4 linked regions of the Elephas maximus indicus genome follow. The protein of the gene in region 1 purifies or fractionates together with the protein of each later gene. This does not show direct contact. Links are inferred from orthologs where the notes say so. Each region holds a gene or a part of one and is shown in the gene's direction. Other genes may lie near its edges. The genes, in order: NEDD1, CCT7, mitotic-spindle organizing protein 2B and TUBGCP3.

Region 1 (7,158 bases):
GTGGGAGGCCTCACTCTACCTGATTTCAGAACCTATTACACAGCCAGAGTAGTCAAAACAGCCTGGTACTGGTACAACAAGAGACACATAGACCAGTGGAACAGAATGGAGAACCCAGATATAAACCCATCCACATATGAGCAGCTGATATTTGACAAAGGCCCAGTGGCAGTTAATTGGGGAAAAGATAGTCTTTTTAACAAATGGTGCTGGCATAACTGGATATTCATTTGCAAAAAAATGAAACAGGACCCATACCTCACACCATGCACAAAAACTAACCCCAAGTGGATCAAAGACCTAAACATAAAGACTAAAACGATAAAGATCATGGAAGAAAAAATAGGGACAACGTTAGGAGCCCTAATACAAGGCATAAACAGAATACAAAACATTCCCCAAAATGACGAAGAGAAACCAGATAACTGGGAGCTCCTAAAAATCAAACACCTATGCTCATCTAAAGACTTCACCAAAAGAGTAAAAAGACCACCTACAGACTGGGAAAGAATTTTCAGCTATGACATCTCCGACCAGCACCTGATCTCTAAAATCTATATGATTCTGTCAAAACTCAACCACAAAAAGACAAACAACCCAATCAAGAAGTGGGCAAAGGACATGAACACACACTTCAGTAAAGAAGATATTCAGGCAGCTAACGGATACATGAGAAAATGCTCTCGATCATTAGCCATTAGAGAAATGCAAATTAAAACTACGATGAGATTCCATCTCACTCCAACAACCTGGCATTAATCCAAAAAACACAAAATAATAAATGTTGGAGAGGCTGCGGAGAGATTGGAACTCTTATACACTGCTGGTGGGAATGTAAAATGGTACAACCAGTTTGGAAATCTATCTGGCGTTATCTTAAACAGTTAGAAATAGAACTACCATGCAACCCAGAAATCCCACTCCTCGGAATATACCCTAGAGAAATAAGAGCCTTCACACAAACAGATATATGCACACCCATGTTTATTGCAGCTCTGTTTACAATAGCAAAAAGCTGGAAGCAACCAAGGTGTCCATCAACGGATGAATGGTTAAATAAATTGTGGTATATTCACACAATGGAATACTATGCATCAATAAAGAACAGTGACAAATCTGTGAAACATTTCATAACATGGAGGAACCTGGAAGGCATTATGCTGAGCGAAATTAGTCAGAGGCAAAAGGACAAATATTGTATAAGACCACTGTTATAAGATCTTGAGAAATAGTATAAACTGAGAAGAACACATACATTTGTGGTTGCGGGGGGAGGGAGGGAGGGTGGGAGAGGGTTTTTTACTGATTAATTAGTAGATAAGAACTGCTTTAGATGAAGGGAAGGACAATACTCAATACATGGAAGGTCAGCTCAACTGGACTGGACCAAAAGCAAAGAAGTTTCCGGGATAAAATGAATGCTTCAAAGGTCAGCGGAGCAAGGGCAGGGGTTTGGGGACCATGGTTTAAGGGGACTTCTAAGTCAATTGGCAAAATAATTCTATTATGAAAACATTCTGCATCCCACTTTGAAACGTGGTGTCTGGGGTCTTAAATGCTAACAAGCAGCCATCTAAGATGCATCAATTGGTCTCAACCCACCTGGAGTAAAGGAGAAGGAAGAACACCAAGGTCACACGATAACTAAGAGCCCGAAAGACAGAAAGGGCCACAGGAACCAGAGACGTACATCATCCTGAGACCAGAAGAACTAGTTGGTGCCTGGCCATAATCGATGACTGCCCTGACAGGGAGCACGACAGAGAATCCCTGAAGGAGCAGGAGATCAGTGGGATGCAGACCCCAAATTCTCACAAAAAGACCATACTTAATGGTCTGACTGAGACTAGAGGAATCCCAGCAGTCATGGCCCCCAAACCTTCTGTTGGCCCTGGACAGGAACCATTCCCGAAGACAACACATCAGACATGAAAGGGACTGGACAGTGGGTAGGAGAGAGATGCTGATGAAGAGTGAGCTAATTATATCAGGTGGACACTTGAGACTGTGTTGGCATCTCCTGTCTGGAGGGGGGATGGGAGGATAGAGAAAGTTGGAAGCTGGCAAAATTGTCACGAAAGGAGAGACTGGAAGGGCTGACTCATTAGGGGGAGAGCAAGTGGGAGCACGGAGTAAGGTGTATGTAAACTTATATGTGACAGTCTGACTTGATTTGTAAATGTTCACTTGAAACTCAATAAAAGTTAATAAAAAAAAATACAATCTAATCTTGTAGATTGAGTTCTACCTCATTAACATAACTGCCACAAATGGAATTTCATTAATGTCATAGAGGTAGGATTTACAACACATAGGGAAATCACATCAGTTGACAAAATGGTGGACCATCACACAATACTTGGAACCATAGACTGGCCAAGTTCACACACATTTTGGGGGGACACAATTCAATCCAGGACAGTTGCTATGAGTTGTAACCTACTTGATTGCAAATGGGTTTGTTTTTGTTTTTTGGTTTGGACTATATGAAGAATTCAGCATCAGGATTGGAAGAAGACTCATTAACAACCTGTGACTGCAGATGACACAACTTTGCTTGCTGAAAGTTAAGAGGACTTGAGGCACTTATTGATGTAGATCAAAGACTACAGACTTCAGTATGGATTCCACCTCAACCTAAAGAAAACAAAAACCCTCACAATTGGACTAATAAGTAACATCATGATAAATGGAGAAGAGTTTAAAGTCAGCAAAGATTTCACTTTACTTGGATCTGCAATCAACACCACGGAAGCAGCCGTCAAGAAATCAAATAACGTATTTTATCGGGCAAATCTGCTGCAAAAGATGTCTTTAAAGTGTTGAAAAACAAAGATGTCAGTCTGAAGAGCAAGGTGCACCTGACCCAAGCCATGGTATTTTCAATTGCCTCATATGCATGAGGAAGACCAATTAAGAATTGATGTCTTTGAATTATGGTGTTGGTGAAGAATATTGAACATGCCATGGACCAGCAGAAGAATGAATGCTTCTCAGAAGTAAGGATGGCAAGACGTACTTTGGACATATCAGGAGAGACCTGTCCCCGGAGAAGGACAACAGGCTTGGTAGAGAGTCAGTGAAAAAGAGAGAAACCCTTAATGACATTGACACTGTGGCTGCAACAATGGGCTCAAGCATAGCAACGATTGTGAGAATGGTGCAAGACCGGGCAGTGTTTTGCTCTGCTGTATATAGGGTCACTATGAGTCAGAAGGAAACCCTGGTGCCATAATGGTTAAGTGCCACGGCGGCTAACCAAAAGGTCGGCAGTTCGAAACCACCAGGTGCTCCTTGGAAACTCTATGGGGCAGTTCTACTCTGTCCTGTAGGGTCGCTACAAGTCAGAATTGACTCGACAGCAACAGGTTTTGCAATAGGTTATGAGTCGGAACTGACTAGATGGCACCTAACAGCAATATAACCACAACAACACTCTTAGAGAAAATTTTAGTACTGTTAAAAGGGACCCTCAGTTTAACTCTCTCTTTTTCCACCCCAGAAGCATCCCCTTAAAAACATTTCATAACCCTATGGGGTCTGAAGTCACAGACCCTGGAGCCTGTTGTGAGAGAAAGATCATGGGTTTTGCAATTTAACAGTAGAATTGCTACTCTTTGGTAAATTGCATGCCTTATCATTATCTGCTCTTCATGGTTTCCTCTTCAGGGGAGCCTTTCCTAAAATCACATTCATGTTAATTTCCCTCTAGTGTATCTTGTACCTACCCTTTGTAGCATTTGTCACAGTTTCACTTTTCATGTATGCAATTATTTATTAACCTCAACCAACTATATAAGACTGTCAACTCCATGAGGCCAAGGGCTACCTCTGTATCCCCAGGTTATTCTCCTTACTGTACGCCCAGACTCTAGCACAGTGCCTGGCACAGAGTAGGCACTCAGGGAGCAAATAACGGACAAAGCAGCAGCTTCCTGCGGCTGGAGTGCAGGCCTGGGACATGTAGGGAGCCGCCCAGCCCAGCAGTTCCCCGCTCAGGAGCCAGAATCACCACCCTTGCGGAGGGCAGTACCACCCCTGACTCAGCCCCACCAACAGAAACCGCTGCTTTGGGCCGCGCCCCGCCCTGCCCCGCCCCTTGACGTAATTTGGAGGCGGGACTTCCGGCCGCCGAAGTTTAACAATCCAGGCGGGAGCCGGAAGCCTAGCGCTGGAGCGGGGCGGGCAGTGGTTCTCTGTTGTGCCGCCGGTGAGAGGTGAGGTCCCGGAGGGCCGGGGTCAGCTGGCCGCTGCCGCCACGTCTTTGCGTTCCGCTTGAACCCCACCTGTCCTCCGGCCACCTCAAGGGGCTGGTCGGAGGCCCCTGGGCGCCGTGCGCTCTGACCTGCCCGGCGCTCCAGGCCGTTGCTGGGTAGGGGCGAGGCGGAGCAATTGGCGCGGAAATGCCCCGGAGTGGGCGCATGAGTCGCGGTCCGGGGTCGTGCGCTCCGACTTAGGGGGCTTCAGTCCCTGCCCGAGTGGTCGCCTGGGTCAGCTAGGGTGGGTTGGTGCGACTCTGAGGCATGTTCTATCTCCGAAAAGTTTACCTTGTCTTCACAAGTTTGTTTCCTTTTTTATAAACTTCAAATATGACTCGTTTAGCAGGCACGCAAATGCATTTTACAGGGTACCCCAGTTGAGCAGTTCTGCAAGTAAAATGCGTTTTTGGCGAATGAAAGTTGGATAAATTTTATTTGTTCAAGCTGACTGTCCGAGTGGAATTGTTTCAGTTAGTCCCTATCCCCAGATCGGGGCCGTCTATTAACAGCTCACTTTCAGTGGGACCCTGTCAGAGGCTGATGTAATGCTTATTCCTTTAATGTGCTCAGTTTTCAGAAGACTGATGTAGTTGGGCAGATGGTCTCCGTTTCCCGCTCCACTTTCAGAGAAGGAAATAGACATTTAATGGCCAAAGACACTGTCACCTACCTAACTCAGGTGGATCGCTTGATCAGTTTTTCTGAGCCTTAGTGATCTTTCCACTGTGTCACACCACTAAGGAGGAATGGTGCAAGATTATAGTAGTGAAGGCTTTCAGTTGTGTTTACTGGTTTAGAGATGGCTTTTCCAGCACTTCATTGTTCCTTGCCTAGGGAACCAGGAGGGCACATGTTAAGGCACCAGATCCAAACCCTGTATGTCTGCATTTCAGCAGGTAACTAACAACTGTTAGTAGCATCACATTTATCTGATGCATGAAGCATGATGAATCACAGTAAATTTTCCAGTTAACAAAAGTTTTAGCCTTTTTATTAGCACACTACTTTTTTTTTTCGTCTCTTGGGAATGAGAGCATTGTGTAATTTATTATGCTTGTCCTCTGCAATGGAGTAGACTGACTATAAATGTGATGTTTTATTGATGATTTGGGGGCCTGTCTGTGACATCGGTAATGCTGTGCTAGTCTTGGACTGTCCACACTAGGAAGGTGTGGAGGGCTGTATATATATGTTCTCTCCCTTCTGCTTTCTCCCATGGTAATTTTGAACATTTTTTTGTGACTGGTCATCTGTTACTACTTGTTGTTCTTTAAAGTGCCTGCCTAAAGCAGCTTCCCTGCCCTCTTTCTTGTAGACTGCTGTGCATTGGGAAATCACCCTGTTAGATTATAGTTTGTATTATATGTCATGAATAAATAATCTGAGTAGGGGCTTAGTGACGTCTCCTTTGGCCATATTTGCTAATTTTGGATTTGTTTGGAAAAACTGAGGTGACTGGGTTCAGAACTCTCGGAGTGTTACAGTTTGATAGCGTACATTTTTTAAAAGGTAAGGAAGTCACCTATCCAGTAGTTATTTGTTGAGTATCTACTGTGTGCCAAGGACTTAAAGAATTTGGTAATAAGCAAGACAAACTCCCTGCCCTCAGGAACCTTTATTTTATTCAAGTCTCTTTAAGGAGGTACACATTATTAGAACAAATAAGAATTTCTGATACTATTAAGTGCCAGGAAAAAAAAAATGAAACAGTAATGGGATAGAAGATAACTGGGGCTGCTTAAGTCATGGTGCTTGGGAGAGGCCTAAATGATGAGATAGGTGGCATGAGAAATCTGGGCAAAGAGCTTTCCAAGCAGAGGGAGCAGAAAATGCAAAGGTGAGAATGACCTGGGCTTGTTGCATGAGACAGAATGAAAGCCAGTGTGTCCGGAGTCTGATGGACTGGGGGAAGAGTGATAGGAGAGAAGTACACAGGGTTCAGGGTCTTGAGAAACATGCTAAGGGTGTTGAGTTTCATTGTTGCTGTGAGGAGCGCTAGGAAGGGTCACTAGGAGAATGTGATCTGGTTTATGTTGTAAAAAGATTTCTCCAGCTGCCTTATGGTGAGTGCATCCTATGGGGCATAAGTGGATTAGTAGGGCTATATACTCTTGTTTTATATTAGAGGCTTCATTTTGACATTTTTTTTGCCTATCAGTTGCTTTTTAAATTTATCGTTTTAAACTGTTCGTAGGTGCAGTCATGCAGGAAAACCTCAGATTTGCTTCATCAGGAGATGATATTAAAATATGGGATGCTTCATCTATGACATTGGTGGATAAATTCAACCCACACACATCACCACATGGAGTCAGCTCAATGTGTTGGAGTAGCAATAGTATCCTTTTTCTCTTATAGCCCCTTTTTATTAGCTTAAAAAAAAAAGTGTCAGTGAAACTTTTGAGTACAGCCCATAATGAGAAATGTATTTTGCAGTGCTACCAAAGATAAAGTAAAACAGACACTTGATGAACAGTATACCATATAAATGCACTCTGGTATTCTTTATTTGGTTTCATTTTTTAGATGGAGTCCACTACATTGAAAAACACTGTTATTTAAAAAAAAAAAAAAAAAAACTTAGCTACGAGAATCTGGACTCTAGAATTAGTTGTATTTTTTTTTTACTATAAACAGGTTGTTATTGAAGTAAATAGGATAAGGTAATAGTGGGAAAAATCCCAGAAGGTTTTGGAATAAGTTTTTGCATCTTTATTTGGGTATTTGTGGATCCAGTCTAGAAATTATAGGCAGAAATTGAAGGCCGAAGCAAAGGTTGATTGGGAGGAGTTAAAACGTCTAACAGCTCTATCTTACTGATGTACTTACTCTCTGCATTTCCCTTCCTTTCTGTGATGAAAGTAGCATCATTTCTCAAACAGCCATAGAGAAATTGTCT
Region 2 (7,343 bases), on another chromosome or scaffold:
AAAGGGTCCTAGCTACCCCTTTCCAGACCATCACCTGTGTGGGTGGAAGAAGGACCATGGAGGATTTTTTATAATGGCTAGTAGGTAAATAGCCAAAGGGCCGGAATCATCTTAAGATAGTTTTAAACACCTTTAAAACAATGACTCGTCCCCAGAAAAGCTGTTTCAAAGCATCACTAACAACTATGACCCCCAAATCTGCCCTATGCCTGCTCTCCCCTTGTGTCCATGTCTGCCCGCTCCTTACCCCCTCTCCACCAGAGCGATTTGGTCCTGGATGAAGAAACCGTTGCTGAGTTCCCCACAGGCCTCTGGGGGTTCGGCAGGGACAAGGTGGATCTGCTCATACCTTGTGTGCTGAAAGACATTCAGGTAGAATAGAGTGTGAAAAGATGGCTGCTTTCTGACTGCGCTGACATCCCATCCAATTGGTTTCCCGTAGAGTGTGAAGGAAACATGAACTGGTTTCTGTGTGCAGGGAACTGGAGCATTGTAATTCTCACGAAGGCCCAGATGATTGTCCTACCCAACCCTGCCTTTCTGGGAGATAGGGGAGTTTGTGTGGACCCAGAGAGGGGAAGTGACTTGCCTTAAATCACATAGTTCAGAGGTAGAGCTGGCAGAGGAAGCTGGTGCCTTTGGTTTCTCACTATGTCATGACAGCCTGTCCCTCCATGGTGCCCAGGTCTGTGCTAGACCCACGGGAGGAGCTGGAAGCATTTCCTCCCTGCACTGCAGCCCCTGGAGGGCACAGCTGGGTTCTGATCCATTCCCCGGCTCAGCACTGGGCCGTGGCGGCACTCAGGTACTGGTTGAAGGGATGAGAGGGACACCCAGCTCAGTGAGGAGGGGAGGAAGAACGTCAAAATGGAGAGGGCCTCCGGAAACTTACAAAGATACCACCAAAGTCCTTGGCAGGTGTGGCTGTGAAGATGTATCGAATGTCCCCAGGACTCAGCACTTGGAAGTACAAATAGTCATTGATACGTAAGCCTGAAGGACAAAGAGTACAGGTGAGAAGCTTCCGGGGAACAAGTTAGTTCAGGTTCAGACCGTGGACTCTGGGTCTGAACCTGGGCTGACTGGTCTCCCCAGGAGGGTGAGATAGACGGTCTTTGCCCTGTAGAGGATAGAGTTGAGGCAGATAACATTAGTAACCCCAGAGATTTATAGCTGCTGTTCTAGTGTTCTCTCTCTGGGGAGTTAATCCTTGTTTGCTCTGAAGTGGGCCTGGGAGTTTCAAGGTGGAGATGTCGTGGCCCCGGTAAACAATTCTCACTAAAACTTAAAATTGACTCTCTGTTCCCACTGCCATTCCCCTAGCCCACCCACCCTATTGCCCTGACTGTTCCAGCTTCTTAACTTTTGTTTGCCTCCACTCTTGCTTCCTAAGGTCCATTCTCCAAACAATAGCCATCTTAACACATAAACACGACCATGTTGTCATCCCCAGGACTTCAATGACTTCCCTTTGGACTTAAAATCGAATCTTAAGTCTTAACAGCCTACAAGACACTGCTTGATCTGGCCCCCGGACACTACTGCAAGCTCATCTCCTCCTTACTATATTCAAACTACGCTGCCCTCCTTTCAGTTTCTTGACCATCCCAGCTCTTCACTTCTCCAGGTCTTCCTCCAAGTTGTTCTCTCTACCTAGAAGGCTCCCTACCTTCACTCACCCCACGTATTTACCTGCCTCACTCCTATGCATCCTTTGGGTCACAGCTTAAATTTCACTTTCTCAGAGAAACTTTCTGCACTGTGACTGCCTTCTCCTAACACCCATTCGAATTGAGTTCCCCTCGTACTTCTTCTCCACTGACGTTTTCAACAAAATTTGTAATTGTATTCATATTCATTGCTGCATCCCCAGTGTCTAACACAGGGGCTAAGATATAGCGGGTGCTCAACAAAGGGTGACGAATGAGCAACTATTTCTGGCTCCAACACACTGAGGAAGAGAATTGCCAGAGCAAACAGACTTTCCTGGGGTGTGGGAACTTCTTTTCAGCACCAAAGTTTAATATTTTACCTGGCCTCGAGTCCCTGGTTTCCTTAGCCATGGATCAGCTAGCCAACAAATTACCATGCACTACCATGTGCCAGACTTTGGGCTGATTGTGACTAGTTGTCCTCGCCTACTGCCCACATCACTGCCACCAGGTAGCGCTCTGTTGGCTTGGCACTGGGCAATAGCGTTTTGACCCAAGAATGGGGACTCTCCATCCAATACAGATGCACTTCCAGGAGGCCTTCCTGAATTAAAGCTAAGCTCCCCACCCCACCTCCTTGCCTAGCCTCTGCATCTGTTTATCTGTGTAAATTAAGTGTGAGTATATGTGTGTATGTATATATACGAGTCGGAATCGACTCGACGGCACTGGGGGGTTTATATATATGTATACACACACATACACACATATATAGGGTTATGAGCTGGAACCGACTCCACGGCACCTAACGACATATACAAATATATACATACATGTATACATGGCTGTATACGTACATGTGCTTGTGTAGGTGCTAACAGATTGTGTGTGCTTGTGTGAGAGCCCAGATGTAGGATTATATGCTGTATAATTTTTTATTATATTTTTATGTGTATGAGTGCTCACATACATATCTCCAGCTTGTAGGATTTTCCAGGTGTCCCTTGTGCCTCGTCCTGGTCACCACCCTCGGCCACCTGGGTCCTGCTTCAACGTGGGGGGCTGAGGACTCAGAGTCTAGGCTTGGGCTGCGCCTAGCGCATGTCCCTGGGGACCAGCACCCAACCAGCCAGCCATCTGTCCCCGCACCTGCCCTGCCTCAAACTCGCGGGGTCCCCAAGGTGACCCGTGGCCCCCAGCCGGAGACGCGCGCAAGCTGGACGGCCTGCCCCACAGCGCAGTCCCGCCCGTTGCTCACCGTGGGCCGCGACGCACGCGGGGAACCAGAGCACGAGACAACACCAGCCCGCGGCCCCAGGGACCATTTCCAGGGCCCTGCCCGGCTCTGCGTTTTCCCCCGGCGCCCCGCCGCGCGTCCCTCGCCGGACTTCAGCCGGAGAGCTGCTCCGGCCTCCCGCCCACAGACCCGCTCTCGTGGCTTGTTGGCTAACCGGAACGAGGCCTGTTGCCGATTGGCTCTCATGCCTGCTCATGTAGCCACGCTTTCCGCCTCTGCGCCTTAGCCTACTTCCCATTGGCCAAGAGAAGTGGGGCTGAAGGCTGATTGGCTTAAGCTGTGAACACCAATTGCCAGCCCTCGCCCCAGCCCCGCCCCAGCACTTCTCAGTTTGGATATGACTCTCCAAGGCTTCACCGACTGGTGGGCCGGTCCGGGAGGAGGGAGAATTGGGGGTGGGCACCCCGGATGACTCGCTTCAGCGGCCTAAAAGCCCTGGCGGTTAGTTCCTGCCATCTCGGCCGGATCCTCTCCGTGGCCGCTTCACAATTTATTTGCCTTCTCCCAGGCGTGAGCACTCTGCTTTGCTTTCCTTCCCCCAATCCGTCCCACGCCCCCACCCCGCGGGAAGGCATTTGTCTAGCGCCCAGGTGGCCCACCGTTCTCGGCTTGGCGTTCAAGGCCCGCCAGTCTTATGCCCAGTTGCATCATTTCTTGCGCGCTCACTATTCGTAGGCGTTGGGAACGCGGCCTGATCTGCAGCCGTAAGGCTTTGGCCAGTGCAGAGCCAGAAAACGAGTATTGGGGCCAGGTTCTCACCCCGCCTCACTGTCACACTGTGTGCAACTGTGACTTTGGACACCATTTCTTAACCTCTCTGAGCTTCAGTTCCTTCATCTGGAAAAGAGGTATAATAATAAGACAAACAAAAGAACCAAGCCCGTTGTTGAGTCGATTCCGACTCATAGCTAGCGACCCTATAAGGCAGAATAGAACTGCCTGGCAGCGTTTCCAGGGAGCGGCTAGTGGACTCGAACTGCCGGCCTTTTGGTTAGCAGCCAAACGCTTAACCACTGCAACACCACGGCCCCTAGGTATAATAATAGTACCCAGGCAATAGGGTTGTTAGGATTGAGCTCATTTACGAAAAGCGCTTACTTAGCATAGGCCAGTTTCACAGCATTCAATAAATGCACGCGTTTATTGCATTCCTTGGTCTAGTGTCCAGTGGGGGATCGGGGCGGAATCAGGGTTAGTAGGTGACGGGGGCGGAGTAAGAAGCCTGCACCACCGAGAAGAAAAACGCACGACCGGAATCCGGAGAAGCTTCGGTAATTAAGGCCTCGGGTAGCGGGACCTACACCTCCTTCCGAAGCCCAGCCTCTGGCCCTTCTAGCCTTGCCGACTCTGTGGTAGAAGAACCATAGAGTGGCGGAAGTGGCCCGTCCCCTTCCTCTCCCGGCACAACGCCTTGACGAAGGTTCTGCGAACTTCTTTGGCGCGAGGCATTGTGGGGTTGCCGGACGGCCGGGACCCAGAGAAGAGAGGAGGAGGAGCGGGCCATTAAATAAGCTTCCAAAATGATGGTGAGTGGAGTCCCGCGCATCCGTCGCCATCCGCTGCCATCCTGCCCGTGGCTGGCACCGTCTGGCCGGGACCCATCCCTTAAAGCCCTCTCCTGCGTACCAGCTCTGTGTCCACCCGACCGCAGCCTGTGGGCGACCCCGGCCCGCAGCGGCCTGGCTCGGTTAGGGCACCGAGCAGGGGCCGTTGGCGAGGGCTGCGTAGGGCTCCAGGGGAGGCTCTGGCCGATCGGCTGGGGACTACAAGTCCCAGGGTGCTTCGGGGCCACGAGCCCGCGTCGTGGACCCGGGCACCCCGTTTTTGGGGTCCCCCATCGAGATTTGTGTGAAAGGAGTGCCAGTTGGGCGTGCTTCTGCGGTTGGCGGCTGGGAAGCTGGCTTGCCCCTGAGAATGCTGGATGTAAAGACGCTATGTGGTTCCTAGAACGGGCAGAGGCAGCATGGGGACCTTACATTTGGCCGAGCCCAGGGTTTCACTTTATGGTAGCTCACTGTCCCCCAGCCTATCCGGTGCAGCATAAATTGAGACAGCATAAATACTCCTCCGCTCGTATTTTCATTCATTCACACACTCATTCATTCCTTAAATAAACGTATATTTAATGCCCATTGAATGTACCAGGCTCAGCTTGTCGCAGGAGGTGCAGCTCTTTAGCCAGAATGGGCAGGGTAGACGGGAACACCGCACTCAGAGGTTGGAAGACCCTGGCTGTGACCCCCGACCTCTTGGTGCGACATTGGACTAGACTTTTCTAGTTGGCCCTTAACTCTGGGTCTTTTCCTTAGAATAGAGGACTGGGGGATCGTGGAGCTCTCCCCCTCCCACAACATCCCTTTTCTCTATCTCGGAGCTGCAGGTTCCTTCCCTGTTTCCCAAACTTAGGTAGTTATCTACTGAGTTGCTGTTGGACGAGGTCAGCTCTTAAGGAGGTTATTGCTGGCAAAACTCTTAAGTTATTGTTCCCCTGTGCACCTGGCAGTTTTCTCATTCATTTTGGCCTCTCGGTCTGACTCGTCCTCTTTTCTGGCTCCCTGCCGCTTCTCCCTGCCCTGGTAGATGTATGACTGACACCTTTGAGGTGTTCCTTCTGCTACTGAATGCCCCATGAACCCAGGTTGTGCCCAAGATACAAGGAACCTGTAGTTTATCTGCAACCCTCCCCACTTTGGACCTCTGGCACCATCCTTCTTCAATCCACCTTCAACACTACCTATTCTTGACATGGTCTTCACTTTCTGGACAGAGGCAGCATAGAATAACTGTTTAGAGTCAGGGCTCTGGAGCCATATTGAATGTCTAGGTTTATAACTCAACTCTCCCATTTACTAGCTGTGTGACTTGGAACATGTTACTTAATTTCTGGTCCTCAGTCAGTCAGAAGAGATAGCAATGAGTAGAGTATTGTATAGAATTAAGTGAATTAATGTATGTAAAGTGCTTAGAGCCATGGCTGGCATGTAGTAAGCACTCAGTAAATGTTAGCTATTACTCAGCCAGGTGGTTGCTTACTTCCTTTTCCTCCCTGTAGTCTATCCTACTGCCAAGGCTACCATAAGAGTTTAGGTTGGTATTCAGAGAACTGGGAATCAGAACTCAGGTTCTTCTGTCTGATAATTAAACCCTTCACCAGGGGACTTCAGACCACTGCACTTGGGTTTTTCCTGAATGGACCCCTACTCATCATTGCCAGATTGACCCTATTTCCCTGCTCTTTTGGTTGTTTAGATAGATGTCTCCTCCTTTTGTAATGTGAAACTTTCACCGAGAATCCTCCTTGCTGTCATCAGATTGTTCTCTGATATTCTAAAAGTCTTCTAGGGTAATAAGAAAACAACAACAAAAAAACCAAACCCGTTGTGGTCAAGTCGATTCTGACTCATAGCGACCCTGTAGGGCAGAGTAGAACTGCCCCATAGAGTTTCCAAGGAATGCCTGGTGGATTCGAGCTGCTGACCTTATGGTTAGCAGCTGTAGCTCTTAACCACTGCATCGCCCTGGGAATATGATAGAAAAGGACTGGTCCTGCTTGACAAGGCTTGCCTCAGTCCAGCTCTGCTACGTCTCCATAGGATCTCTCTACCCAGACTGTCGTTTCTGTTGGGACTACAAAGCATGGGGAACTTGGAGAACATGCGGTCAGCTGCTTCCAAGTCCTTGCTTTGTACTTAAGAATTGAATTCTCAGTGTATTTAGTGTCACCATACTGCCAACTCTTTAATGAAATAAGCCAGTCCTATCTTATTTCATGGCTTGTATCAAGCACTTTCTAGTATATGATGTTGTTGTTGGCTTTTGTCAAGTTGGGCCCTGACTCATGGTGATGTCGTGCGCAGTGGAAGAAAACGCCTGTTAAAATCCATAGGGTTTTCTTTGCTGATTTTTAGTAGTAGTAGATTGGCAGGCCTTTCTTCCTAGTCTCTTCATCTGGGAGCTCTGCTGAAACCTGTTCAGCATCGTAGCAACACGCAAGCCTCCAGTGACAAACTGGTGGCGACTGCACATGGGGTGCAAACCAGAAAAACCAAACGCCCTGCCACTGAGTTGATTCTGACTCATAGTGACCCTATAAGATTTCCAAGGCTATAAATCTTTACGGAAGCAGACTGCCACATCTTCTGCATACGTGAGGTACATTGGCAAGAATTGAATTTGGGTCTCTTGTGTGAATCGACTCGACGACACTGGGTGGTTTCTGGGTGTGTAAAAGGCAAGAATTCTATCACTGAATTACCAGTGTCCCCTCTAGTTTATGTAATGGTTGAAATTTCAGCACCAAAAGCTGCTGAATGTTGTTTCACATGTGGCCAAATCTAGCCGTTCTACAAATGGAGATTGCTATAGTGCTTACCTTTGGGAAGCTCATACATTAA
Region 3 (6,932 bases), on another chromosome or scaffold:
AAATCATAAGTGTGTTCACTTTGTGGCTTTTGCTGATATTCTGACTTAAGGCAAAACAGAAAGCCAAGCAATAGGCAGGAGCTAGACACACAACCACCAGCCTGCTCATCATACCTCCACTCATCAGGTCATGCTGCCCAACTGGCCTAGAAGAGGCCACCAGCAGTGAGGCTGCAGCCTGATGCATTCTCGACCAGCAGCTCTCAGGCTTGCTTCCCAGTGCCTCCCTGAGGCATCACCAGTGACCTCAGGGCACTGCATACCATCAGGACAAAACTGACTCCTGCACGATCCCCAAGAAAAGGCTTAGCTCCAGGGGCAGGAGAGGGCAGTTACGGTGTATGGAGCCCCTGCCCCCGCCCCAGGCCCTGGAGAATTCAGGGTTTGTAAACACAAATTGGAAATTTCCCACGCGGCTGACTGCCTTTGAATTTACATAAATGTGACAGCGGTGAAAATGGCCAAGAACATGAAGGCATCGGCAGATACTTTCTTTACTGCATTATCCCTTATATAGTAGATAACTAAGTAAAGAACTGGCTAAAACTACAGACAGTTCCAGCCAACAGTCGACACTAACCACCAAAGCAATGTAGTAGCCAGAAAACATTCAGGACGAGCACTAAGGAACTAAACATAAAGTTGTGGGATGAGGGGAGCAGGTGGCATCTTAACCGCGTGAAGGAAAGGCCTCTCTGCAAATGGACTGAGACCGGGAAGGAAAGCCAAGATTTTAACCACAAGGCCTTTGACCCAAGGATAGCTAAAGCCCTATCCAACTCTAAAAGAGGATGGACCATGGGTCTCGATCAGAGATGGAAACCTGGGCTGTTTAGGCCTTGGTCACCAGGGAAGAATGCCCTTCCAAACAAGTGTTTACAGAAAGTATCTCCTGGGAACTAAAATTAGAAACAAAATAGGAAAATAGGGTTCACCCTTCATCACCAGTACTGTCTCACACCAACTTCTTGGCATCACGCTTAATACTCAAAGCTCAGCTCCAGTTCCCCCAGCACAGCAGGGTTCGTCTTTCACTGACAACCAACCAGTTGCCATCGAGTTGACTCTGACTCACAGTTACCCCATGTGTGTCTGACTAGAACTGTGCTCCAGAGGGTTTTCGATGACTGATTTTTCGAAAGCAGATGGCCAGGCCTTTCTTCCAAGGCACCCCTGGGTGGCCGTGAACCTCCAACCTTATGGTTAGCATTTGAATGCATTAGCCGTTTACATCACCCAGAGGCTCCTTCGATGGTGATAGTTAGCTTTATCAAACCATCTCATATTTGTGTAATTATTTAAGGGCATGAAAATTCTGACGTCCATCCTCCTTGCTTACTCTTCCCCATGCCCAGGGAACAGGAAGAATAGGAATTTAAATCAATTCATCAACACCAGAGCTCAGAGTTTGAGGAACCCCAAGGTCCTACACCAACAGCAGACAGCATCAAGCTTAAAGATTCTAACTCTGAGTCCAGTGTTATTTCCATCACTGGGCCCTAAGGAAACAACCACTGGAGAGTTCTTTCTGTCAATGGAAAGAATACTTAAGTTCCTTTGCTCACATGGCCGTTGATACTCACCAGTAGGAAACTGGGCTGCTGCAAGTGAGGGAACGCCATGGCAGGTTCCCGTGGAGAGTCAAAGATGGCCGTCTTAGGAAACCACTGTGAAAAAACAAAAATGAGATCTCAACATTTACTACACAACAGATTATGTACATTCGCAATGCCCATGAGAATGTCTGTATAACCCAACACACACTGCACCACCACATCCCGTGTTTTACAGAAATGTCATTCTTATGCAGTTCAGGGTGGCCAGCTTCAGACCCAAGTTCATGGGGAATTTGCAGATGTAAGTAAAGGCTCAAGTCAATTGACCTTAGATACAGAGATTACCCAGGTGGACAGAGCGTGATCCCGGAGCAGAGCGTTTTCTCCAGCTGGTAACAGAGTGGAAGCCAGAAAATTCCAAGCATGAGAAGGATTCGATATGCCATAGCTACTTTGAAGGTGGAGGAAGCCACCTAACAAGGAATGCAGGCAGATTTTGGAGCAGAGAGCAGCCTCCAGCTGACAGCCAGCAAGGAAATGGTGACTGTAGTTCTACAACTGAAAGATACTGAATTCTGCCAGCAACCTAATGAGCTTGGAAGCAGATTCTTCCCCAGAGCCTCCAGGTAAGAACAAAGTCTTATAAAGCCCTAAGCAGAGAACCCAGCCAAGCCCACTTGTACTTCTGACTACGTAACTTTGAGATACTAAAAGGGTGCTATTTGAAGCTAAGCCTGCCACACAGCAGCAGCAAATACATCCTCACAACCACCGTATGAGGTCAGTACAGATTAGCAAACAGAGGGACAAAGGGGTTGAGTCACTTACCCACACCAGCTAGTAAATGGCTAAGCACAGATTCGAATACACAGACCTTCCAAATCTCTCAGAGACAAAGTTAAACACTGTCTATATTACCTGTGCTTTACGGGAATAAACCAAAGGAGGGAAGGGCAAGCTCTGCCAAGGTAGCCTTTGAATGAGCCATCAGAAAATCTCACTCACCCAGGACAGAAACTGAAAAAAACCCAGACTTCGACTGAGTAGGGGGGAAGCCTGCCCGAGTACCCTTGACGGCTTTTGGAGGCAGAGAGGCTGGGTACAAGGAAGCGGTGTAGGCAGCTGGGGTCTTAGCAATATGAACACTTCCAGGCTTTTTCGTTTCTCAGTTCTAGCTAGCTACCAGTTTCAGGTTTAAGAATGAATTAAAATAAAACGCCTCAGTCATAAACCATTTGATCAAGAAAACACTGTTTACTACTCCAAAACGATCAAGGCAGCATAAAATCCCGGACTGTTTGAAAAGGGTAGAGCCTTCCACACGAAGTGAAAGCACCACCCTGCTCAGGGGAAGCTGAAGGAATAAGCCCCAAACAGAGATCTTTCCAAGAAGCTGTTTCCCCGCACACTCTGTCCTCCCAGCGTGCAGCATCCACGCTCCTCCCAGTCACACCCCTCCGCGACTGTGCAACAAGCGTTTGTTTTATCCCGCCCCTTAAACACCCACTTTCTTCAGGAGCTGCTTCACACCCTGCTGTGGGGTTTGTTCTGAGGCCGGTAGCTGCTCCCGCCCTAGGCGAAGCAGCGGCATCCTCCCGTTTGTCGCTCACAACTGTCCTGTGAAGTGGGCATCGGGCCCTCATGTTGCAGAGGAGAACTGAAGCTTGGAGCAGTCGAGTCACATAGGAAGGAAGGGTCGGGCTGAGACCCAAACCCAGTCTTCCTCCCACACCACTCCCTGAGCCACAAGGCACAGCTTTAACTCGAAGCTCTCCTTCCTTGAACTCGTTAAACGAATGTTAACCGAGCACCTACCGGGACAGGTGTGCGAGCCGCCCGAATAAGTGACATGGAGGTGCAGCCCCGACCCTAGGCCGCCCCCGCCCGCCCCGGCCGGTGCAGAGACGCTGGGATCCAGCCCGAGTCCTGGGGCTCATGGAGGGGCGGCGACGCCCGGTGGGCCTCGGCAGGGACGTCAGGAAGCCGCCACGGTGCAGGGATGTCTCGCGGGCGGCTCCCACCACTCACCTGGGGCGCCCACAGCGCCGTTCGATTCAGGGCCCAACGCCGCCGTTCCGAAACCCAGCGCCTAAGTGTCGTCATCAAACTGCGCGTGATGTTACACCCCCAGCCCTGGCCAGGCGGGAAACGCGCTGCTACCCCTTCAGGAACCTGACTTAAAATGCGCGTGCGCAGAGGTAAGGCCTCCTGAGTTTGTGGGCGTCCGCCACGGAATGCGCGTGCGCAATGGGGGCGTTTGAGCCCTATACGCGGGAGCTCGTGCGCCATCTCCCTGGCCAGGAGTGCGCGTGCGCATAAGCAGAGGTCGCTTATTAGGCCCACCGAGGAGCGCCTCCTAGTGGTGAACAGGCACCTAACGATTACATGTGGCGCAGAAGACGTAGCAAGCGTTTATTGAGCGCCTACTATGTGCTCGACACTGGGCTGAGCGCTGATACTCGAACAAGCACGACCAACGCAGTCTAGCCCGGAATCGCCCAGGAGCGGATCCGGGCGGTTCATCTTGGGACCCCCTAGCCGATGCACAATAGGCGCTTAATAAATGCTACGGGGTCGGATGGCGGCACGGACGGAGTCCCGGCCCCCCTGCCCTCGCAGGTTTGGCGGCGGAAACGGCCAGGAGGGGGCGCTGTGGCGCGGAAGGCGGGGCCGAGGCGCGGGCGCCCAGTGCGCGCGCAGTTCCCGCCGCGCTGATGGCGGCGCCGGGCTCCGGGCCGGGGCAGGGGCCGCCGGCGGGGCTGGAGGCAGCCCTGCAGAAGCTGGTGCTGCGGCGAAAGAAGGTGCTGAGCGCCGAGGAGATGGAGCTCTACGAGCTGGCGCAAGCGGCGGGCGGCGCCATCGACCCCGACGTTTTCAAGTGAGCGGGTGCGGGAGGCTTGGCGCTCGGCCGACCCCGGCTCCGCTGGCCTGGAGGAGTCCCGCCCTTAACTGGCGGCCACTGTAGGGATGGGGTCCTGCGGGCGCGCCGAGCAGGCCCGGCCCCGGCTAGTGGGCTCACTGCGCCCGCTTTTTTGTTCTCGCCAGGATCCTGGTCGACCTGCTGAAGCTGAACGTGGCCCCGCTTGCTGTCTTCCAGATGCTCCAGTCCATGTGTGCCGGGCAGAGGCTGGCGAGCGAGCCCGCGGACCCTGCAGCCCTTCCTCTGCCCGCGGCCAGCGTGCCTGAGACTCGAGGTCAGAGCTGGGGCCGCCGGCACAGGGAGAGGGCAGGACGTGCGTAGAGGCTTGGCGCGGAGCGGCCAGACCTTTCTGTTGGTTTTGCTTCTGGAGCCGCAGGGCCCATTGCAAGGGCTTGCTCCGTGATCGCTGCTGCCCTCGAGGGGGCACCTCCAAATCTGGGGTGCTCGGGGAGGGTGCCCCAGGGCAGCCCAAGCAGGCCAGCGCTCCTCTGGACCCTTTGCATCCCCAGCACTCTTCCCGCCTCTTCTCTATACCTTCATTTCACAAACACGGGGGACAAGATGGTTTTGGTCCCTGTCCTCGGGGGGTGGGGCAGGCAGAAGCTTTCCTGGCACCCCCTTGCTCATGCCGCACTCCAGCCCAGGCCCTTCCTAGGGGTCTGGACTGCAGGGTGGGGGCCTACAGTGGCCCCTAGCTTTTCTAGAACATGCAGCACTCCCAGCTTGCGGGGATGCAGAGGTGACTGTGGGGTGCATAGGTGCTGGAACCACAGTGCCTGCTCCAAATCACCCTCCGTGTGTGTCGTTTCTGCCCCCCGTGGCCATTGGAGACTCAATGAGACTCAGTAGAACTTCCCAGGCAAGTGACAGGGGTCCAGGGCTTCCTCCCTGCCCAGAGGCCTGTGGGCACTGCACGGGCGTCCTGGGAAGGGGCTGGTGTCTGGGTGGTGGGAGTGCAGGGCCCTGGGTGCCTGCGCCCGTCCTAACAGGCCCTGGGCACGTGCGCTCCAGCCTCCACACTGACCATGCTCTGTCTGCTCTCTTTGTGTCTCTCTCCGACCTCCAGAGGCCTCCCTTCTCTCTGCCAAGAACAGTAGCCCCCCTGCAAGGCCCTCCTTTCCCGCGGCCTCTCCGGTTCTGCTCCACGGCCCGGCTGCCACGCTCTCGCCTCTCTCTCCGGGGCCCCCTGGTTCCCTCCGGTTCTCTTGCTGCCTGTTCTCTCCTTTTGCAGGTTGCGTTTATTGGCTTATCTCTGGGGGTTGGTGCTCTCATTTCCGTGGAAACGGCTGTGGCCCCAGCCGGCCAGATCAGCCTCAAGCTGCAAGGGCAGTACCACGAGCCAGCCGTGTCACCGTGTAGACACAGAGGGCACGATCTCAAGGTTAGAGATGACCTGCAGAACTTGTAGGCCATGCATTCAGACAGGTGTTAGGGGGAGGGACCTGCACCCCCACACCTCCTAGCTAATCCCGCTAGGTGTTAGCTAGGTGAGACTCCAAGGGATGACAACAGGCAGAGAAGCAGGGAGAGGCCTGAGGACAGCATGGGTGCTGTGGCAAGCACAGCCTTTGGCCTGGACATGCTTCAGCCTCTCGGAAGCTGTCACCTGGACAGGCTCCTAGGCCTCGGGGAACCTCCCGGAGGGTGAGGTGGAGATGCTGGTCCGTCCCCCAATTTCCCTGGCAGTGGTGCATGACTGACTTGTGCTTGCGAGTCCCCTTTCCTGCCTGGTGTCTGAGCCAGGCTACATTCCAGGCCTGGTGGTGTGATGAGACTGGGGTCCTAGAGCCAGGGGGTGGTGAGGGCCTGAGGTCCCCTAGGGTGCTGGTGTTGTGCCTCCCTCATGCCCCTCCCCGCATCCCCACCTCGCTATTGCAGGTGCCACCGGAAACTCAGGGCATGGCTGTCTCCCACACCTCCCTTCTTGAGGCCCTCCCCACAGACCAGCAGCCACCCTCCTGTGCCTCACTGCTCAGGCCCAGGGAGGTGCAGGGAAGGCCGATGATAGGAGCAGGAGTGGGTGGATTGCCAGGCTTCGATGAGGGAGCAGAACATTGCCTTGGGCCAGGGCATCCTACTTCTTGGAGGAGACAGAGTACTTATGCTTTGTAAACCTGGGTGCTGGGCACAGTAGGGAGGCAGGATGGACAAAGAGACAGGGGTGGCAGTGGGGCCAAGTCCAGTCCTGGGCAGCTCTGCTGGAGTTCAGGGGTTAAGCTGGGGGAGGGATGGTCAGCAGGGCCACTAGGCAGGCTTTCAGTACCAGCTGGAGTGGCAGATGTCACCCTGTAACCCTCCAGGGACTCTCCCTGCCAAATGTGGGACGGCAGGGCAGGGAATGCAGCACCTCCCGGCCTCTGGGGGAGCCAGGCCTGACCTGGGGTGACAGGAGGAGGGTGGAATGTCAAGAAGCATATCAGGGGTTGTGTCAGCAAGGCTTGGGGGCCATTGGATCT
Region 4 (7,669 bases), on another chromosome or scaffold:
TCTGTCAACACTGTATTCTTTTTTTTTAATTGTGCTTTAAGTGAAAGTTTATAATTCCAGTCAGTTTCTCATACAAAAACTTATACACACATTGTTATGTGAACCCTTTTGCTCTCCCTATAACGTGACAGCACACTCCTCCTCTCCACTCTGTATTTCCTGAGTCCATTCAACCAGCTCCTGTGCCCCTCTGCCTTCTCATCTCCTCTCCAGGCAGGAGCTGCCCACATAGTCTCATGCGTCTACTTGAGCTAGAAAGCACACTCCTCACTAGTATCATTTTATGTTTTCTAGTCCAGTCCAATCTTTGTCTGAAGTGTTGGCTTTGGGAATAGTTTTAGTTTTGGGTTAACAGACAGTCTGAGGGCCATGGCCTCTGGGGTCCCTCCAGTTTCAGTCAGACCAGTAAGTCTGGTCTTTTTACTAGAATCTGAGTTCTGAATCACACTGTCTTCCTGCTCCATCAGGGATTCTCTGTTGTGTTCCCTGTCAGGGCAGTCATTGGTGGTAGCCAGGCACCATCTAGTTCTTCTGGTCTCAGGCTGATGGAGTCTCTGGTTTATGTGGTCCTTTTTCTGTCTCTTAGGCTCTTATTTTCCTGTGTCTTTGGTATTCTTCATTCTCCTGGGCTCAAGGTGTATCGAGACCAACTGATGCATCTTACATGGCCACTTGCTAGCTTTTAAGACCCCAGACGTCACTCACCAAAGTGGGAAGCAGAACGTTTTCTTAATACACTTTGTTGTGACAATTGACCAAGATGTCCCCTGAAACCATGGTCCCCAGACCCCCGCCCCTGCTACTCTATCCCTTGAATTGTTTGGTTGTATTCAGGAAACTTCTTAGCTTTTGTTTAGTCCAGTAGTTCTGACTTCCCCTGTATTGTGTGCTGAGCTTCCCTTCACCTAAAATAATTGTTATCTACTATCTAATTTTTTCTTTTTTTTTAATCTAATTAGTGAATGCTTCTTCCCCCCCCCCACCCTTTTAACTATCAAAGAATGTTTTCTTCTGTATTTCAACCTTTTCTTGAGTTCTTATAATAGTGGTCTCATACAATATTTGTCCTTTTGTGACTAATTTCACTCAGTGTAATGCATTCCAGATTCCTCCATGTTATGAGATGTTTCAAGGATTCATCATTGTTCTTTATCATTGCATACTATTCCATCGTATGAATATACCATAATTTGATTATCCATTCATCTATTGATGGGCACTGTCATGGATTGAATTATGTCCCCTCAAAAATGTGTGTATCAATTTGGCTGCTCCATGATTTACAACATTGTGTGGTTGTCCTCCATTTTGTGATTATAATTTTATGTTAAAAATGGTTAGGGTGGGATTGTAGCACCACCCTTACCTAGGTCACATCCCTGATCCAACATAAAGGGAGTTTCCCTGGGGTGCGGCCTGCACCACCTTTTCTTTCTCAAGAGATAAAAAGGGAATGGAAGCAAGCAGAGAGTTGGGCACCTCATACCACCGAGAAACAGTGCCGGGAACAGACTGTGTCCTGTGGACCTGAGATGCTCCCAGACAGACCAAGGGAAGCCTGATGCATCACAAGGACCTTCCTCCAGAGCTGACAGAGAGAGAAAGCCTTCCCCTGGACCTTATGTCCTGAATTTGGATTGTAGCCTACTAGAAAGCAAGAGAATACATTTTTCTTTGTTAAAGCCATCCACTTGTGGCAACACTAGATGACTAAGACAGGCACCTTGGTTGTTTCCATCTCTTTGCTATTGTAAACCATGCTGCAATGAACATGGGCGTGCATATATCTATTTGTGTGAGGGCTTTATTTCTCTAGGATATATTCCAAGGAGTGGCATTGCTGGATCATATGGTACTTCTATGTCTAGTTTTTTAAGGAAGCACCAAATTGATTTCCAAACTGGTTGTACCATTTTACATTCCCACCAGCAATATACAAGTGTTCCAGTCTCTCTACAACCTCTCCAACATTTACTATTTGTGTTTTTTGGATTAATGCTAGTCTTGTTGGGATGAGATAGTATTCCATCGTAGTTTTTATTTGTCAACACTGTATTCTCAAAAACCATACCATACCCCATACCCATTGCTGTCGAGTTGATTCAGACTCATTGTGAGCCTACAGGACAGAGTAGAACTGCCCCACAGAGTTTCCAAGGAGCACCTGGTGGATTCAAACTGCAGATCTTTTGGTTAGCAGCTGCAGCACTTAACCACTACCCCACCAGGGTTTCCTTCTTAAAAACAGAAGTTCTTAATTCTTATGATGAATTCTTGTAACTCATGTTCACAAACATTTTTCTCCTATGCTTTGTTTTAGAAATTTTGTAGTGTTTGGCTTTACATTTAAGTCTCTGTCATCTGTGAATGTGGGTAGTTTTACTTCTTTCTTTCTCATTCGGAGTGCTTGTGTTTCTTTTTCTTGCCTAATTGCTCTGTCTAGAACTTCCAGTACGATGTTGAATAGTAGTAGTAAAAGTGGATATCCTTGTCTTGTTCCTGATCTTGGCGGGGGGAAGCTGCAAATATGTTAGCCCACCACCATCTGGTCTCCGTGGTTTCTGATGAGAAATCAGATGTTAATCTTATTGTGGATCTCTTGTATATGATGACTTGTTTCTTTCTTGCTACTTTTAAGATTCTCTCATTGTCTTAGGTTTTTGACAGTATGACTCAAAAGTTTTGACTCAGAAGTGATTAGGTTTAGGGCCCACATAATCTGTTATGAGCTTATTAACATAAAAAAATTCCTATTTCCAAACAGGGTCATATTTACAGAGATTAGGACTTTCATACATATTTTTGGGGTGGGGGACACAATTCAATCCACATCATTAGGAATCTGTCTGAGGTCAAAGTGTATAATCTTCTTAGGTATTTTTTTGAGCTTGTGTCTTGCCTCCGCACGCATGTGGCTTTCTAAATTCCCCCATATACATGGGTGGTTTGCACCCAGTGATGCTGCTGTCATGATTTACCTCAGAAGCCCAGGCAAATACAGCAGCAGGGCTGGGAAGTAAAGGGGGAGAGCCATGGGCATAGGCTACTATCTGAAACTGCAGTTTTGATCTTGATGTCAAGTTTTGGCCTTCCAATTGCCTCACTAAGAGCCTCCTACGGGTTCTTTCCTGTGACGCTTATGACTCGCCTAGTCCTCAAACTCAAATGGTAGAAGAGGACAGGTGTTAAAGTGTATAGTGAAGCAAAAAGGTTCTCCAGAGTCTGGGGCCTTCAATAGGCTACCACTGTGGTATCATAGGGGGGCATTTGTGATCCAGTGGTAGAGTTCTTACCTTCCATATGGGAGACACAGGTTCATTTCCAGTCAGTGCCTCTCACATGCAGCCACTAGCCATCTGTCAGCGGAGGCTTGTGTGTTGTTACGATGTTGAACAGATTTCATCAGAGCTTCCAGACTAAGACAGACTAGGAAGAAAGGCCCAGCAATCTACTTCTGAAAAATCAGCCAATAAAAACCTTGTGGATCACAACGACCTGATCCACAACTCATCATGGGGACGATGCAGGGCTGGGCAGCATTTTGTTCTGTTGTGTATGGGGTCACCATGAGTCATGGACGACTCAATGGCAGCTAACAACAAGAACATGGTACCGTATGTCACCTGTGATTTCAAAGAGGGAGCCTCAGGGGGTCTTTTTTTGGATGGGGTTGGAGTTCTTTTCTGGTAAGTCCTCTTTTTGTTTTCTGTCCTCCTAAATTCACTTGATAGTTGGAAAGTGCTTCTTTTTCCGTATTATAGGTCAGGCTATCCTGGGTTACAAATTCTTTCGATCTGATTTCCAAATTTCCTGGAAAGAAACTTTGATCGGTCCAGCTTGTGACAAGTACCCATTCCTGGTCTAATCTACCATAGCCACATGAACTGCACAGGCCCACTGATGGCAGGATCCCATGCGCTTAACCAGGTGATGTGATGTGCGGATTGAGTCATTTTTTTCTAGTTTTTTTTTCCTGGGTCAGGCAGTTTTCAGTACCTGGTACACTCGGAGTTAACTCCTATCATTGAACTTATATGATGTATTTGCTGTATTCATTAATCTTTTTCTTCTTTGGCCTTTTCCTCTTCTTTGAGTCTTCATCTGGCTGATTCTTATTCTTCCACTGATATCACAGTTTTATGGGACTGAGGTAAAGAAGCTGATGGAGGGTTGGGGTTGGTGAGTCAGTGTCATTAAAACTATGCCCTGAGCAGCCACATATTCTACGTATAAAAAGTGCCCACTTTGAGCACAACGCTCAAATGCTAAAAAAAAAAAAAAAAACTAAATGTAAAAAAAATTAAAACCCTTGTACTCCTGTCAATCAACTTCCACTAAAAGTACATCTCAAACCAATATAGTTTTTAAAAACTCCGAAATTATGGCGTATAAACGCGCTACGGGCCGCCAAGGGCTCTCATAGCAAGACAGTCAACCATGATGAGCCTCTGGGGAACGTTTTGAGATGTTTAGAAAACGTTCCCGGACGTACCCAGCAGCAGTGCTGACTGCGGACGTTACCACAGTAGGAGGTAGCATGGAGCAGTTTGTTCTCCGGAACGTTCCCGTCCCGCTTGGTGGTGGTGGTGGGGAAGCGTGCGGAGACGGGAGAGGGGGAACCTTTAGGCCATTGCACTCGGAAGCCCTGAAGCGGTGGGAAGAAGAAGGGCATTGTGGGGGCTGGCCTCAGTTTCGGCGGGTTCTGTTAAAATGGCGCCGTTGCTGCCCGCCGTCTCGGTTCCTTAACCTGACAGGGAAGGAGGTCGGGAGCTAGAGCGCGGCGCGGGGCTACGGCTGCGGCCGGTACGCGGGTCCCTGCGCGCAGCAGTGGCCGGATCGCGGCGGAGACCGGGAGCGCGCTCCGGCCTGAGGAGGCGGCGGCGGCGGCCGGCGGGTGCGCCGTGGGGGCAGCTTCCTCAGGCTCCCCGGCGGCTGGGCCCGCGCGCCCACCTCCCTCAGGCTCCCCGGCGGCTGGGCCCGCGCGCCCACCTCCCTCAGGCTCCCCGGCGACGCCCGTTTCCACAGCCGGGGCGACGATGGCGGTCGCGGACCAGAAGTCGCCCAACGTTCTGCTGCAGAACCTGTGCTGCCGGATTCTGGGCAAGAGCGAAGGTGAGGGCGCCCGGGCTCGGGAGCGGGGCCGCGGGGCGGGGAGGCCGGGGCGGGAGGCCGGGGAGGCCGGGGCGGGAGGCCGCTGCCTTCCTGGCGGAGCTCGGAGTCTGCCGGCAGCGGGGCGGAGGGTGTCGGGGCTGAGGGCTCGGAGCCCCGGGAGCTGAGGGCTCGGAGCCCCGGAGCTGAGGGCTCGGAGCCCCGGGAGCTGAGGGCTCGGAGCCCCGGGAGCTGAGGGCTCGGAGCCCCGGGAGCTGAGGACTCGGAGACGGCTGCCGGGCCGCCCGCTCATCCCCCCTTCTGACGTGACGGGAGCCCGGGCGCTTCATTTGGGTTTATTATTTGGGTTTTTGCTGACGCGGCGGGAGAAGGGTAGACCCGGTTCCCAGTCACACGCTGTGAGGGCGGTGCAGGGCGACGTTAGCTCCTCGGGTCGCAACGCCACGGGGGCGGCCACGTCGTTTTCCCCTTTCTCTTAGGAAAGTGTAACGTTGTTACGTGAAGGGGTACTTGTGACTACCAGCTACCTTTTTTTTTTTTTTTTTAATAGTAAAGGGTTGAAGGTTGGATTTTATATAAAACTATTCAGGAAAGTTCACACAGCGGATGTTGCTACTAAGAAGCAAAACCAAAAACCAATCCTATGCAATATGTAAAGCTCTTCTGTACCCGAGGTATTTTTAAAAATGGTCCAATATGTCATCTCTTGGCATGGGGGAGAGGAGAATTAGATGCATCATGAGAGAATTTTGCGGTAATCGAAGTAACTGGGTTACTTACTCCTTAAGCACTACAATGTGGAAAAGAAATTGTGCAATTTTTGAGGGAAGACTTTTAAAATACTACATTTAATAAAGTGTTAACGCTGTATTTTGACCTTTCTCTTATAACACATGACAGTTAGTGTGTGCCATTTATTTGATGTTCTGTGATAACCTTTGGGGCAAAAGGTAAATTTTTTGGGTGTCTGTGTTAAATAGAGGGTCAGCGAAAAAGAGGAGGACCTTCAAGGAGATGGATTGACACAGTGGCTACAACAGTGGGCTCAACCGTAACAACGATTGTGAGAACCGTGCAGGGCCAGGCAGTGTTTCATTCTGTTGTACATAAGGTCACTATGAGTGGGAACTGACTTGACGGCACCCGACAACAACAACATATTAAGGGACTCCGATTTCATAGTTCCTGCTACATTTTGTAACGTTCCATCTCATCACTGTTCACCCTAAGTATGCACTGTGCTAGGCGTGGTGAGGTAGAGCTGGACAGGATAGACATCTCATAGAGCTTACATTCTAGTGGAAAACGTAGATGATAAACACATAAATATATGATGATAATTAGTGATGAGTCTTAAGATGAAAACACTTATCACTAATGGTAGAGTAAAAGCACAGAGAGGGAGGTCAGAGAAGGCCTCTGAGGAGATGTTTAGAGGCCTGATTGGAGTGAGGAGGGTGGTGTGAGTATCTGGGGAGTGTTCCAGGTTGAGGGAACAGGGACAAAGGTCTTGAGGTGGGCATAAGCTTGTGTGCTGTCTTCTCTTTTTCTCTCTAGCTCCTGTATGTGTATCTCCAGCACTCTTAGTTAACTTCTCTAATGCTCCTAATCATGGGAGAAATGGGATAACCGTAGGATTGCTGGTTATGACTTAACAGCTTGAATACCAGTGTTTTCATTATACCAAAAAAATGAAACCTGTTGCCGTTGAGTCGATTCTGACTCAGAGCGACCCTTAACGTTTTTTCCACTGGAGCTAAACAACATAAACGTTGCCATTGCCGTGACTTAATTTTTTTCTCCATAAAAATCAGTTGTCATGGAGTTGATTCCAACTCATGGCAACCACATGTGCTACAGAGTAGACCTTCTCCATAGTTCTTTCTTGGCTGTAATCTTATCAGAAGCAAATCACCAGGCCTTTCTTCCATGGTGGAAGTGGGTGGGTTGGAACCATCAACCCTTAGGTTAGTGGTCAAATACAAATACAAGTGGGTGGGAACCATCAACCCTTAGGTTAGTGGTCAAATACAAACCATTTGTGCTCCCTAAGACGTTTATGTTTTTTCACCATAGTCCCTCCTTAACCTTAAAAATTTTTTTTTAATTGAGGTTAAATACATACAACAAAAAATTTATCATTTTTAAGTGTGCAATTCAGTGGCATTAGGTATATTCACAGTGTTGTTCAACCATCGCCACTGTCTGTTTCCAAAGCTTTTTATCACCTCAAACAGAATTTCTACGCCTAGTGATCACCTCAGACAGAAGTTCTACGCCTAGTGATCACCTCAAACAGAAGTTCTACGCCTAGTGATCACCTCAAACAGAAGTTCTACACCTAGTGAGCGGTAACTCCCTATGCCCTTCTTCCCACCACGACCCCCCAACCCAAGAGTAACCACTAATCTATTTTTCTGTCTCTATGCCTTTGCCTATTATAGATATTTCATTTAAATGGGATCACATGACTGGATTTTGAAGGTCATTCATTTTATGGTAGAATATTTCTCAACTTCAAAACAGCTTTAAAATTTGACTCTCCAGTTCCTTGACAAAA

Evidence for each region.
Region 2: the proteins of NEDD1 (region 1) and CCT7 purify together in Homo sapiens (affinity purification with mass spectrometry; 3 studies listed by BioGRID and IntAct, counting the BioPlex papers as one, with this or other methods). This does not show direct contact. The link is inferred for Elephas maximus indicus from reciprocal best matches to the Homo sapiens genes NEDD1 and CCT7.
Region 3: the proteins of NEDD1 (region 1) and mitotic-spindle organizing protein 2B purify together in Homo sapiens (affinity purification with mass spectrometry; 3 studies listed by BioGRID and IntAct, with this or other methods). This does not show direct contact. The link is inferred for Elephas maximus indicus from reciprocal best matches to the Homo sapiens genes NEDD1 and MZT2B.
Region 4: the proteins of NEDD1 (region 1) and TUBGCP3 purify together in Homo sapiens (affinity purification with mass spectrometry; 3 studies listed by BioGRID and IntAct, with this or other methods). This does not show direct contact. The link is inferred for Elephas maximus indicus from reciprocal best matches to the Homo sapiens genes NEDD1 and TUBGCP3.

What each region holds. Positions count from the first base shown.
Region 1 is NC_064822.1:162,446,246-162,453,403, forward strand, and holds the start of NEDD1 (protein NEDD1), read left to right. Parts: upstream 1-4,146; 5' UTR 4,147-4,217; intron 4,218-6,453; 5' UTR 6,454-6,461; coding exon 6,462-6,597; intron 6,598-7,158. UniProt on the Homo sapiens protein: Required for mitosis progression. Promotes the nucleation of microtubules from the spindle.
Region 2 is NC_064835.1:62,607,017-62,614,359, reverse strand, and holds the start of CCT7 (T-complex protein 1 subunit eta), read left to right. Parts: upstream 1-4,332; 5' UTR 4,333-4,469; coding exon 4,470-4,475; intron 4,476-7,343. Other genes in the region: PRADC1 (protease-associated domain-containing protein 1), read right to left, coding at 248-357, 893-993, 2,911-2,977. UniProt on the Homo sapiens protein: Component of the chaperonin-containing T-complex (TRiC), a molecular chaperone complex that assists the folding of actin, tubulin and other proteins upon ATP hydrolysis.
Region 3 is NC_064840.1:21,597,370-21,604,301, reverse strand, and holds the start of mitotic-spindle organizing protein 2B, read left to right. Parts: upstream 1-3,928; 5' UTR 3,929-4,270; coding exon 4,271-4,434; intron 4,435-4,601; coding exon 4,602-4,750; intron 4,751-5,542; coding exon 5,543-5,707; intron 5,708-6,932. Other genes in the region: SMPD4 (sphingomyelin phosphodiesterase 4), read right to left, coding at 1,584-1,667, 3,585-3,659. UniProt on the Homo sapiens protein: Required for the recruitment and the assembly of the gamma-tubulin ring complex (gTuRC) at the centrosome.
Region 4 is NC_064841.1:78,744,062-78,751,730, reverse strand, and holds the start of TUBGCP3 (gamma-tubulin complex component 3), read left to right. Parts: upstream 1-4,649; 5' UTR 4,650-5,036; coding exon 5,037-5,112; intron 5,113-7,669. UniProt on the Homo sapiens protein: Component of the gamma-tubulin ring complex (gTuRC) which mediates microtubule nucleation.